3 linked regions of the Mytilus edulis genome follow. The protein of the gene in region 1 purifies or fractionates together with the protein of each later gene. This does not show direct contact. Links are inferred from orthologs where the notes say so. Each region holds a gene or a part of one and is shown in the gene's direction. Other genes may lie near its edges.

Region 1 (3,761 bases):
TTGTTTGTTTCGCCTTTTATTAAAAAAATTGCTATGCGTATAAGCATAAATACTACATACTTGCGCGACGCCTTTTAGTTTTACTGAAAACTGCGCAGACTAAGAAATGTTTTTACAAGTGTAAAATGTTCTATGATAGATATTATTTTGTCAGACACTTTTCTTTTTTTTATTTGGTTCTTATAACATGCCAAAAATCTGTATATTTAATAGAGTTTAACATTAAATTAAGCGTTTTACTCTTAACAGACGTATAACCAACCCGATTAACAGACCAATCGCCCATATAGCCGCATACTCAATATAGATTAACCGACCAATCTCTCGGTTAGCCGAGTGTCGGCCGTGTAGAGGTATAATTTGTATATCAAAGTGAATAAGGTGGCGTGGCCGTATGATTGCCTATGGGATAATTATCCATGAGTGTCCAAAGGAAAAGCATACTGCCAATTATACAGGTTAACTTCAACAATGTATAGATATACTCGCATAAATGAAATATATTTTTTAGTATTTTTGAGTAAGAATGAATTGTGATAACATATTTTTTTTTCGTTCGCATTGTGTGTTTATCGACCAGCTATGGTATATGGTATACGAACGCGGACACCCTATCTTTGTAAAATTGTCCAATTAATGTCCGACGGAGGGTGCATCACTCAGTCATGATCAGATAGTTGTTAAATCTACCTATCTCTTAAGGTACTGGATATCTCAGTTGCTACTGAGTTCTCTTGCCTAACACAATTTGTCAAACGGGTTGAAGTTTTCTTGCTCTTTTATTCCGCATATACGTTACTCGAGATACTTGACTTTGTGTTCTGCCCTTCTATTCTTATCTCCATATTGTATGGTCAACTGACAAGGATAAATTTGTGACAAGAACGTGTTTAATCATGCTATTGTTTTAACAAGGATTTATATATTAGATCATATTAGTATAGACTGTCCCTGTATATGATACTATGTATAAATCCTATGGTTAAAAAAATCATTAGTTTTTAAATACCAAGGATGTGTATAGTTACTATCAGAGACATATATATACACACTGTCACTCGTATACATGTCTCTGTTACTATATAATACAAAACTTGGATTTACCGACCCCTCGGAGACCGACCCCAAACAAAAATGGGGTGAAAGTGTCGATCCAAGATTCATTAGGGCCAAACACTTTAGAAACAAAATAATTAAACTTTTTGTTTTATAGTTGAAAAAGGTTATTTGTATAGTAAGAAGGTTCTTACTATACAAATCCTTGATAAAACCAAAAATGACACGTGCCAAATACCGGAAAATTACAGCTTGTCCGCATTTGGTTTTAAATTTAGATAGACAGTCAGCACTTCCGGCACATGTGGAAATCAAATCGAAGAAATGGCAAACGAAGATGTTAGCAAAACTGCCTCTGTTGAGGTACATTTTGCACAAAGATTGGCTTCAAATGAGAAGAAGATTAGAGACAGAGCAATGAAGAAATTAAGAAAATGGCTTGAATTGAAATCTTTAACCAAAAAAGGTGTGCAAGTTTACCTCGTTTCTCCTAACAAACAGACCCAAAAATTATGGCAAAATGGAACACACATGTCAATAATATTACAACAGCAGCCACACTAATGCTTAACCTAATGAAGAAAAACGTATAGGTCAATTCAAAATCAAGAAGCATATGCATCATTTGTAAGACCAAAGCTAGAGTACAACAGCTGTGTCTGCGACCCATATACCATACCATATAGACTATAGTGTCGACACTACTCCACATCTAAATTACAGCACTGATTTTAACTACATACTTGAAAGTTTTTAGCTGTTCACTTACGCTGGAGTATATACACTAAAACATGAGTCCACTCCTTGACGGGAAGATAGAGAGATAGATAGATAAATCACAAACTAAAAATGTCCAAGCACAGAGCAGCTAGGATGGTACACATAAACATGCCATAGCCCCAGCTCAGTTACACTACATTTGAGAAAAGGCAAATACAATCTTGAATCCTGTTCTATATCATGCACCATGTAGCCATATAGAGTGCTAGTTTTCTTGTAGCCTGGTTAATTCTTAACTAGGTCGTTTCATACTTGGTGTATTTATAAATGGAATATATTAAATTAAAGAACTTTTCTTGATTTCAACTCTTTAAGTTATGAGTTTTGTTTAAAACGTGTTATATATAATTGTTTACAGAAAAAGCTTTTACTGAAGCAGATTTCCTGAAGATATGGAAAGGTCTCCACTACTGTCTATGGATGCAGGACAAAGCACTTCTTCAGGTTTATATTTTATTTAAAATGGTGTAACTAGAAATTCTAAACAGTCATATGATTTTTATACGCCCGTCAAAATTTTGACGTATTATGGTATACAAATGTCCGGTGTCCGTCTGTCTGTCCGTCTGTCTGTCCAGCGTAAACATGTCGCACCGTAACTTGAGAACGACTTATCTAAATTTCATGAAACTTAATATAGTTGTTTTTTATGATGATCAAATGATCTGTATACTTTTTGGTGAAAATAAGATTTAAACTTTTTGAGTTACGGCACTATGTAACTAAAACAGGGGTGTGTTGTTTTTTCACATGTCGCACCGTATCTCAAAAACGATTCTTGATTATTGCTTTAAACTTTACACACTTCTTAGTTATATTAATCTTAATATCTGTATACTTTTGGTGATGATTCAAAATTTCATTTTTGAGTTATCGAGTATTTTGTAAAAAAAGGGGGAGGGTTTTTTACATGTCGCGCCGTATCTCAAAAAACGATTTATGATTATTTCTTAAAACTTTACACACTTCTTTGTTATATTAATCTAAAGATCTGTATACTTTTTGGTGATGATTCAAAATGTTACTCCCTTAGCTCATTACTGATTTCCTTTGCTTTTTGTGGCATTCAACCTAAACAGGAAGTTTTCTAAATTCTAGATTGAACTAATATAAATAGAGATAATACTTAAATATTTCATTTTGTGCCTTGAGATTGATATAAGTTCTGTTTTTAATATTTTTTATACTTGTAGGAGGAGATGTGTGCATTTATGTCCCGACTGGTTCATGTATTCAGTCATCCAGACAACACATTACTGTTTATACAAGTGTTCTTACAGACAGAGGCTAGGGAATGGAATGGCACAGACCGCTGGAGGATGGATAAATTCATGATGGTAACCATCCTCCCCATTGCCTCATTGTTCCTGTGATTGAAACACTGTTTTATTATTAAAAATTTCGGTCAAATTGCCTATGTACATGTATTTAACTTATTTACTATAAAAAATGGACTTAACTGGGAGTTCAAGGAAGTTAGAATATTTAAAGAATTGCCTGCATACTTTGGAACAGCCATGAAAAATCACATTTTTTCTTAATCCATTAAAATAAATGAATCCACAGTATAGCATGTTTATTGTCCATATTTTGTCAATCATTAGCATAATATGGTCCCAAATGATGTGGCTCTCATCAATTGAAATTGTAAGATATTTGTTGGATATGAGATGATATTTATGATATTATAGATAGATATTTTAATCAGTTATTAATAACATAATTGATTGTTTTCAAATACTTTTCAGTTGTTCCGTAACATGTTAACACAGTCATTAGAGTTTCTGAAAAAACAGAAATGGAAAAAGAGTCTTATTACCAAGTTTACAGACATTCTGTCCAATAAGATAATGAACATTAAGGAAGACACTTCACCAGACGGACTTAAGATACATTTTACAGATATTTATTTGGATGAACTAGAG
Region 2 (3,761 bases), on another chromosome or scaffold:
ATAAATTAAAAAGTTTAAATCAGATTCAACTTGATCACTGTCTCTAATCAAGGACGACGTGAGGTCAGTCTAGATATCATAATGCATGACTTGCAAATGCGTTAATTTCATGATAATTTATCACGACAATCCCGGCGACATATTCATCTACAGAATATTTCCCGATGTTATACATTATTACACATTTCACCTGTGAAGATGAGATTAAGTATACATTTGTGTTATTTGTATATGGAAAACCGTAAAACACAGAAATTTTAAAGTTTGTTTTGTTTTAAAGATTTTTCGAAATTTTGATAAATGCCCCCTTTGGATACCTTAAATGAAATTCCGTTCCGTTCCGTAAAGTACCAATAGCCATCTAGTGATTATCATTTATTGATATTAAAAAAATGATTTTTCACTATCAAAAAAATGATTTTTCACTATCAAAAAAATGATTTTTCAATATTAAAAAAAGATTTTTGTCATAAATAAATGATTTTTAATAATAATAAATGAGTTTTCAATATTACATTCGATTTCATTGAGTGAGTATGGAAAGGTTAAATCCTTGGTTAGCTTACCTGTTAGCTGAACCGTGCAGTCATTATTAAGTTTAACATGTTTAATAGGTAAACTATCCTCCTTTAAGAGTAGACTAGTCCGACAGACAACCAATCTATCTGTCTGTAGGACTAGACTACTTCGAAAGAAGTAGTATTATTGTATAGCAATATAATATTTCCCACAGAAAGTAACCAAAAGTTAGCGTGCAATAAATTCTAATATTGCACTAGTGCAATAAATCTTCAAAATTCATGACATCATCAACGACAAAATCTTAGTTTAAACCAATTTTTACTTTTAAATATTATATTGCTATACAATAAAAGGGTTATTGCATGAATATTGGGGAATATTGTCCCTCGTAGAACATATATTGCACTCGCAAGCTCGTGCAATATAAAATTCTACTCGGGACAATATTCCCCAATATTCATGCAATAACCCTATATTACTATACCTTACATGACCTAAATCTCAGAGCTAACCTAATAATGAATTCATGGTTCAGCTAACAAGCAAGCTAACCAAGTTTACTGTCACAGAATGGAAGTTCCTTCATAATATAAGTTCCAAAAAAGAAAAAAATATTCTGGAACACAATTTCCAAAGGAATAAATATATTACAGTATATGTTCCCAACGGAATAAATGGTATAGAATATTTGTTCCAACAGGAATAGATATAATTACAATATTTATAACAAAGTTTCCATTGGAACTTCTGTTAGGTGGAACAAATATATACCTTACCCTACACACTCAATGCAATCGGCTGTAATAAATGAATTATTAATATTTAAAAAAGATACAGGATTTTTGTTTATATAAAACAAGGATTTGTATAGTAAGAACTTACTATACAAATCCTTGTATAAAAGTAGTCACTTTCTGATATAAGGTACGTTGTGGTGCATTTATTTTTACAATATGAATGAGGAAGTTAGTCTTGATCACGTATTCTGCCTCGTTTTAGAAACCAACGCTATCTTTCTTCGCCATTTTTCACAACACGTCAGCCGTAGGAAAAGAAAACGAAGCATGTCTTACGGACGACCATCAAATGATTCCAGAATTTATGTTGGCAATCTCCCACCTGATATAAGAGCTAGAGACATTGAAGATTTATTTTATAAATTTGGACGAATTAACTTTGTTGACTTGAAAACAAGACGAGGGCCCCCTTTTGCCTTTGTTGAATTTGAGGACCCACGGTAAACACTTTGTTTAGTTTATTTAAATTTAAAACTGTCAATATTTTTTCTTGGCAATTTCAAGGTGTAAACCTACTTGTATTGTGGCTGTGCTCATAGCCATATTTACATGTAAAACTGAGTAAGAGAGTATTTACTAATAATAATATTAAAAATCACAGGCACTTGTTTCTATTCATGAAGGTACTGTCTACTGTAGTAATTTTACTGTCAGTCGTCAAATAGTCAGTCTTCACGACAAGTGGCAGCCCAGGCTGGTAAAATTGCTCTTGGCCTGTAAAAATCAGACCTACAGGCCAACAGAATATAACTAAAAATTTTCAAAAATTGAGCTGTGGGCCTGTAGATTTAGCAGTTCAGAGTGAAGACTGAACAGTCATTTTAGGCATCAGTTGGTGTCATTGGTTTTACCGTGATTCGTTCGAAATATCCTTTTATATCGTGAATCGTCAGAGGTCTCATAAAATTATCGTTACCTCAATTGGTAAAAATTTGTCAGAGCAGACCTTCCATCTAAACATGAAACCCTAGAAAATTACAACACTGCCAGCGATATTGTTGGCTTTTTTCAAAACTACCTCTAGTTACCCTTTTTATTGGGAAAATATGCGTCATTTTCATCAAATTGGGAAATTTAAAATCATGAATATGACTGAAACTTCAATTTACAGACCCATTTTCAAGAGTCAAACCCTGCTTTGAAATAAGACCCTGTGATGATACATAAATAGACCCTCAAATGTGCACATATAGTCATTTTAGGCAAGAAAATTGTTTAAATGAGTGTTTTTAAAGGGGCACTAGCTGTCAAATTCATTGTAACCGATTTGACTCAAATTCTCATATTTGGTTTATAACAATGTAAAACATTTATCCAAACTATCAAAAGTCTAAAATAAGCAGTTTACAGAGCATGGGGTAGATAATATATAGGTTCGTTTCGTGTGTATTTTAGTCCAGACGCCATCTAATTAACTATCGATTTGACCTCAGATGACCATATTAGCGATGTAAACAAAAATTAAGATACGAATAGATTAAACCAACACGTGCAATTGCATTTTTATAGGTCTGTTTGATTTTATTTTATAGATTAAAAATAGATGTTTCTCATTGTTTTTAACCATATAAGAATGACTTTATGTGCATCGAATTAGTAATCAAATGATTTACCGTAGTTTCACTTTCATTGTTGACATTCTTTTTCTTTAAATAACCAGTACACGTACAACGCATGCGTTGTCAATCTCTAGCTAGGGGTTAAGGTTCATCATAAGGAATTGAAAAATATGGCCGTGTTTACACCTCCAAAATTACTATGAGTACAGACAAACTGGTACATCCAGGAAAGTTTTAAGGCATGGCAGGAACTAGATATATAAAAGTTATATGAAGTCTTCGTTTCAGAAAATTAAAAACTTACCTGGATTTTGATGTTCATTTTTTTCCAGTCTGCAGAAGATAGCAAAATAAACAAACACCCGAGTTTCATTTGATACGGTCCACTCAGTTACACAGTTTAAACCTGTTAAATAACCTATTGTTTACAGGTGTCTTGTCCATCTATTGTCCATTTAAATCAATACTACTCACAACATTGATTATATGAGTGGAGCTTCTCAATCGTTTTCACTACTTAGTTAATTTTTGCACCTTCTGCAGGAACGAAAAAAAATGGATAGCAAAATCTAGAAAAGTTTATAATTTTCTGAAACATAAAATGCATTTAAAATTTATATATCTAGTTCCTGCCATCCCTTAAAACTGTTGCAGGTGTATAGGTTAGTCTGTACTCAGAGTAAAATTTGGGGTGTAAATACGGCCATTTTAGCCAAAAGGTTATGATGAACCTTAACTTGAAGTTCACATGAATACCGGTTAGAATGATGATGACGTTTTCACTTGCAAGTGAATCAGTCACAGTGTTCCAGCTAGGTTTTCAAAAGGGCAGGGTGCCAATCCTGAAAAAGGGCATTTAACGCGCGATATGATAATATGAAAA
Region 3 (3,761 bases), on another chromosome or scaffold:
GTAATAAAAGGGGGTACCTTCATGATGAATAAAGGTAAAAAATCTTGCCAAATGATATGTTAACGGTAATATTTCGTGGGCTTTATGAAAAAAATCTACCGATTTTGACGAACCACCTAAAATTCCTTGAAAATGGTAACGATAATTATTTCAGAACTCAAAAATAACTAGGGGTCGAATTTAAGCTTTTTGTATACTGGCAAGCTGGAACAGTGGAATAAAAAATCTACTGGTCCAGCTGCGAGGGGGGATAGGACCTTTATCGGGACTCCGGGATCAGGTGTTTTTAAGCTCAGGATTTCTGGATTGACCCTTTCGGGATCCGGGAATTCTTTTTTTAAATTTCAGGACCTCGGGATTTCGTTTTTTTTAAGCCCGGGATTACGTGATTTCGTGTTTTTAAGCTCGGGATTTCTGGATCAGGACCCCTCCTACCCTCCCTCAGCTGCAAATCTTAACTGGTTCTGCAAAAATGACATTCATTTGACAAACACTAAAAACAATTTCATGAAACAATATTTTATATTAATTTCTTCAAGTTAACAGGAAATAATATTTTATTTTCAATGAATACAATTATCCTCTTTGACATGCTTCAGTACCGGGTAAATGATTTCGCAAGTTAATTTGTTTGCAAACAAACTGATATTGCGATGCAATCAGTGAGTTTTATCAACAAATTTCTACTGGTCCACCAGACCACCAGCAGACAAAATCTACTGATCCGACGCAAATTCTTCTGGTCTATGACCGCAGGACCAGCGCCAGTTTCGACTCCTGGAAATAACTCTGACCAATCCTGATCATATACAATGTATATAAGCATGACATAACTTAACATGAGATTAATAAATTTTAATCAATTTCATGCAAACATTAGCCGAAAACTACTGTTTAACGCCTAACAATAAAGGTGCATTTTTACCCTTTACATATACATGTAGTGATGTACCAAATTAGGGTTGTTGAAGTAATGACTAAATGAATGACAGGTGAGGTGGGATAGGTCTTGAGGATTGAGGAGTAAACTTGTGACTAAATTATTATATTCATCTGATTATTTGTTTCCCTCATTACTTTTAGTTCATCAATAAGTTGTATTTCTACATTTTCTGTGCTGTTTTTCAACTCCATTTCTATTTGATGAACCGAAGACGGTATGGAACTTATACGAAAATAAATTTTATGTTCATTTTTCTTTTAAATAATAATGAAATGTCACCAAAAAGATAAATCATATCTAATTGACCAAAATGAAGAAATTTATTCTTGTTCTTTTGTTCAAATCTTTAAAGAACGACCGTTTGTAAATACAATTAAACGCGGAATTGCATCTAATCCGATTTAAGTTTTTGTTTAGAATCCCATTGACAACTTCCGCCACATGTTCATTTATTTTATTTTTAATTTTGATATAAGAAAAACAAGCATTTCCTTGTTTTGAATTACTTGGTAAGGTGTGTATGATATTAAACCCTTCATCCTATAACTTTAGGTTATGAAATTATAACATGACAAACTCAGAGTGCTTGATTTTGATAAAAAATCTAGATAGCATTCTGTTTGCTTTTCTTCATACATACGAATTTGTATAATTATTGATAATATTACTTTACAAACATGAAAAATCCTTGTTGTAATTAACTGATTTGTGTATATGTTTTCCTTCTTGCCTTCATGAATTCGGTCATACACTGCTGGCCTATAACATAAGATTTATTTACAGTACCATTCAAAAGGACCAACTCTCCCACACCCTACACCAAGGAAAATGTCCGAGTTACTCCGAAAAACTCTGATATTCCTCCCAAAATGTTGGGAGGAATTTGGGAATAATCTCTTCCAAAATCAGGTAAATGTTTATTGTGATAGCGAGCTCACTCCCCTATTATTTGCTCTTATCCTACTTTGATCTATACCGACACACGACTGATAGGGTAATAGGCTTAAAGTCATATGAAACGAGTAAGTGGTTAAAAATAACGTTTATCCAATTCTTGAACCAATGCATGTATATATCATAAACTTAGTCCTCTGTGCACAAATTTCTCATTTTACGCATATATAATGTTTAATCGTCAATTTTTTTTTTCTCTCTGTCTGTTATGATTTAACAAATATGGCTACTCATTAAATGCCGTGTTTTGAAGCCGAAGTTTACCGATTGTCACCTTATAGTAAACAAATAACAAAAAGCATAGTTATTGAGCACGTGTTTAACATGAACAATCAGATAATTGTTTATTTTAATGACAGATCCATGCTTATTGTGACCACCAGATTTTTACGAGGAGGGTTACGCTCAGGTCACTATGCATACTGAAAATATGTCGGCGAAGCAATTTAAAATAATGAAATTCTTCTAAATGTGAACAAATTAACACTAGTTATACGTCCATGGTCAATAATATAAATTTATGGTTGATGAAATATTGAAATTATGATGGAAATTGTCCAGGGATCAATTGTGTTCAAAAGACAAAAATACAATAAAGAACTGCCAATTTTGGGCGATTAAGAAATGTTCAAAAATGAAATGCTGACTGATTTAACTGGAATAGAATATTATGATGGGCAATTGAGGTTTAATAATAATTAAAGGATTAGTGACCTATTGAATGGCGATAAGCGGATTACTTATCATCACAACTTTTAACATCTTTTGTAAACGTTAAATGGCTGCGCGTCATAAACTTGTCAAAAACATGAAGACAGGTAAAATCATAGTAATTTAATGCTAAAATATTTTTACACTTTCCAAATTTAAATGACGAAATTGATATTAAATACTTTCATCAATTTGAAAACCGTTTCGTAGCAAAATCACTTGAAGTTATTCCCTTTGTTCAACAGAGTTGTCACTTTACAGTTTCTTTTCGTAATTTAGATTATTGAAGTCTGTATAAATGTACCGAGGTGGTGAAACATAGTATTTTACATTGCTTCAATAAATTGAGTTTTACTTGTTGAACCGATGAATAGATTAGACGATCGAGTTACAAAAAAAAGACCTGATTATGTTGTCACGCGTCGTAAATGTTTAGTACATCCGATTGGCAATAAACCAATTAACAGCCACGCAGTGTTGGGAGAGAATCTTTGGAGGAATTTGGGAGTGAAATCCGCGGTACTTGGTAGCTCCGAAAAACACGGAAATCGGAAAAAAAAGGATATTGAATCGTTCCGTTTGAATGGTACTGTAATACATTTTTACTCTTTTACAAAATGTATTAGGGCCTCATATGCATGATGTAATGATAATAAACATGTGGATATGTAATCAAATGTCAAATAACAAAAATACTCAACTCCAAGGAAAATTCAAAACAGAAAGTCCCTTATTGATGGTATAATCAAAAGCTTAAACTCAAACAACTGTCACATTCTTGACTTGGAACAGGCTTTAAGTAGTAAATGGTGGATTAAATCTGGTTTTAAAGCTAGCTAAACATCACACTTGTATGACAGTTGTATAGGAATCTGTTATATTGACAATGATGTGTGAACAAAAAAGACAGACATAAAAGGTAAAAAAGGTAAAAAATTGGGGTACAGCAGTCAACATTGTGTTATTATCTTAATCACCATAAAAATCATTCATACATGTACTTTCAGAGGTTGAGATGGTGGTGTTTACTTGCAGCCAGTGTAACGAATCACTGAAGAAGAATCAAGTAGAAAAACATTTTCAGACAAGATGTCGTAACTGCAATATGATATCATGTGTTGACTGTGGAAAAGATTTCTGGTTGGTATATTAT

The links.
Region 2: the proteins of ribosomal RNA processing protein 1 homolog A-like (region 1) and serine/arginine-rich splicing factor 1-like purify together in Homo sapiens (co-immunoprecipitation; 3 studies listed by BioGRID and IntAct, with this or other methods). This does not show direct contact. The link is inferred for Mytilus edulis from reciprocal best matches to the Homo sapiens genes RRP1B and SRSF1.
Region 3: the proteins of ribosomal RNA processing protein 1 homolog A-like (region 1) and cell growth-regulating nucleolar protein-like purify together in Homo sapiens (co-immunoprecipitation; 3 studies listed by IntAct, with this or other methods). This does not show direct contact. The link is inferred for Mytilus edulis from reciprocal best matches to the Homo sapiens genes RRP1B and LYAR.

Annotation. Positions count from the first base shown.
Region 1 is NC_092348.1:78,180,108-78,183,868, forward strand, and holds the start of ribosomal RNA processing protein 1 homolog A-like, read left to right. Parts: upstream 1-1,324; 5' UTR 1,325-1,380; coding exon 1,381-1,522; intron 1,523-2,194; coding exon 2,195-2,280; intron 2,281-3,029; coding exon 3,030-3,173; intron 3,174-3,584; coding exon 3,585-3,761. UniProt on the Homo sapiens protein: Positively regulates DNA damage-induced apoptosis by acting as a transcriptional coactivator of proapoptotic target genes of the transcriptional activator E2F1.
Region 2 is NC_092349.1:62,476,540-62,480,300, forward strand, and holds the start of serine/arginine-rich splicing factor 1-like, read left to right. Parts: upstream 1-1,508; 5' UTR 1,509-1,586; coding exon 1,587-1,759; intron 1,760-3,761. UniProt on the Homo sapiens protein: Plays a role in preventing exon skipping, ensuring the accuracy of splicing and regulating alternative splicing.
Region 3 is NC_092347.1:43,472,714-43,476,474, forward strand, and holds the start of cell growth-regulating nucleolar protein-like, read left to right. Parts: upstream 1-1,349; 5' UTR 1,350-1,452; exon of another isoform or gene 1,453-1,457; intron 1,458-3,615; 5' UTR 3,616-3,623; coding exon 3,624-3,748; intron 3,749-3,761. Other genes in the region: protein-lysine N-trimethyltransferase SMYD5-like, read right to left, coding at 1,078-1,134. UniProt on the Homo sapiens protein: Plays a role in the maintenance of the appropriate processing of 47S/45S pre-rRNA to 32S/30S pre-rRNAs and their subsequent processing to produce 18S and 28S rRNAs. Also acts at the level of transcription regulation.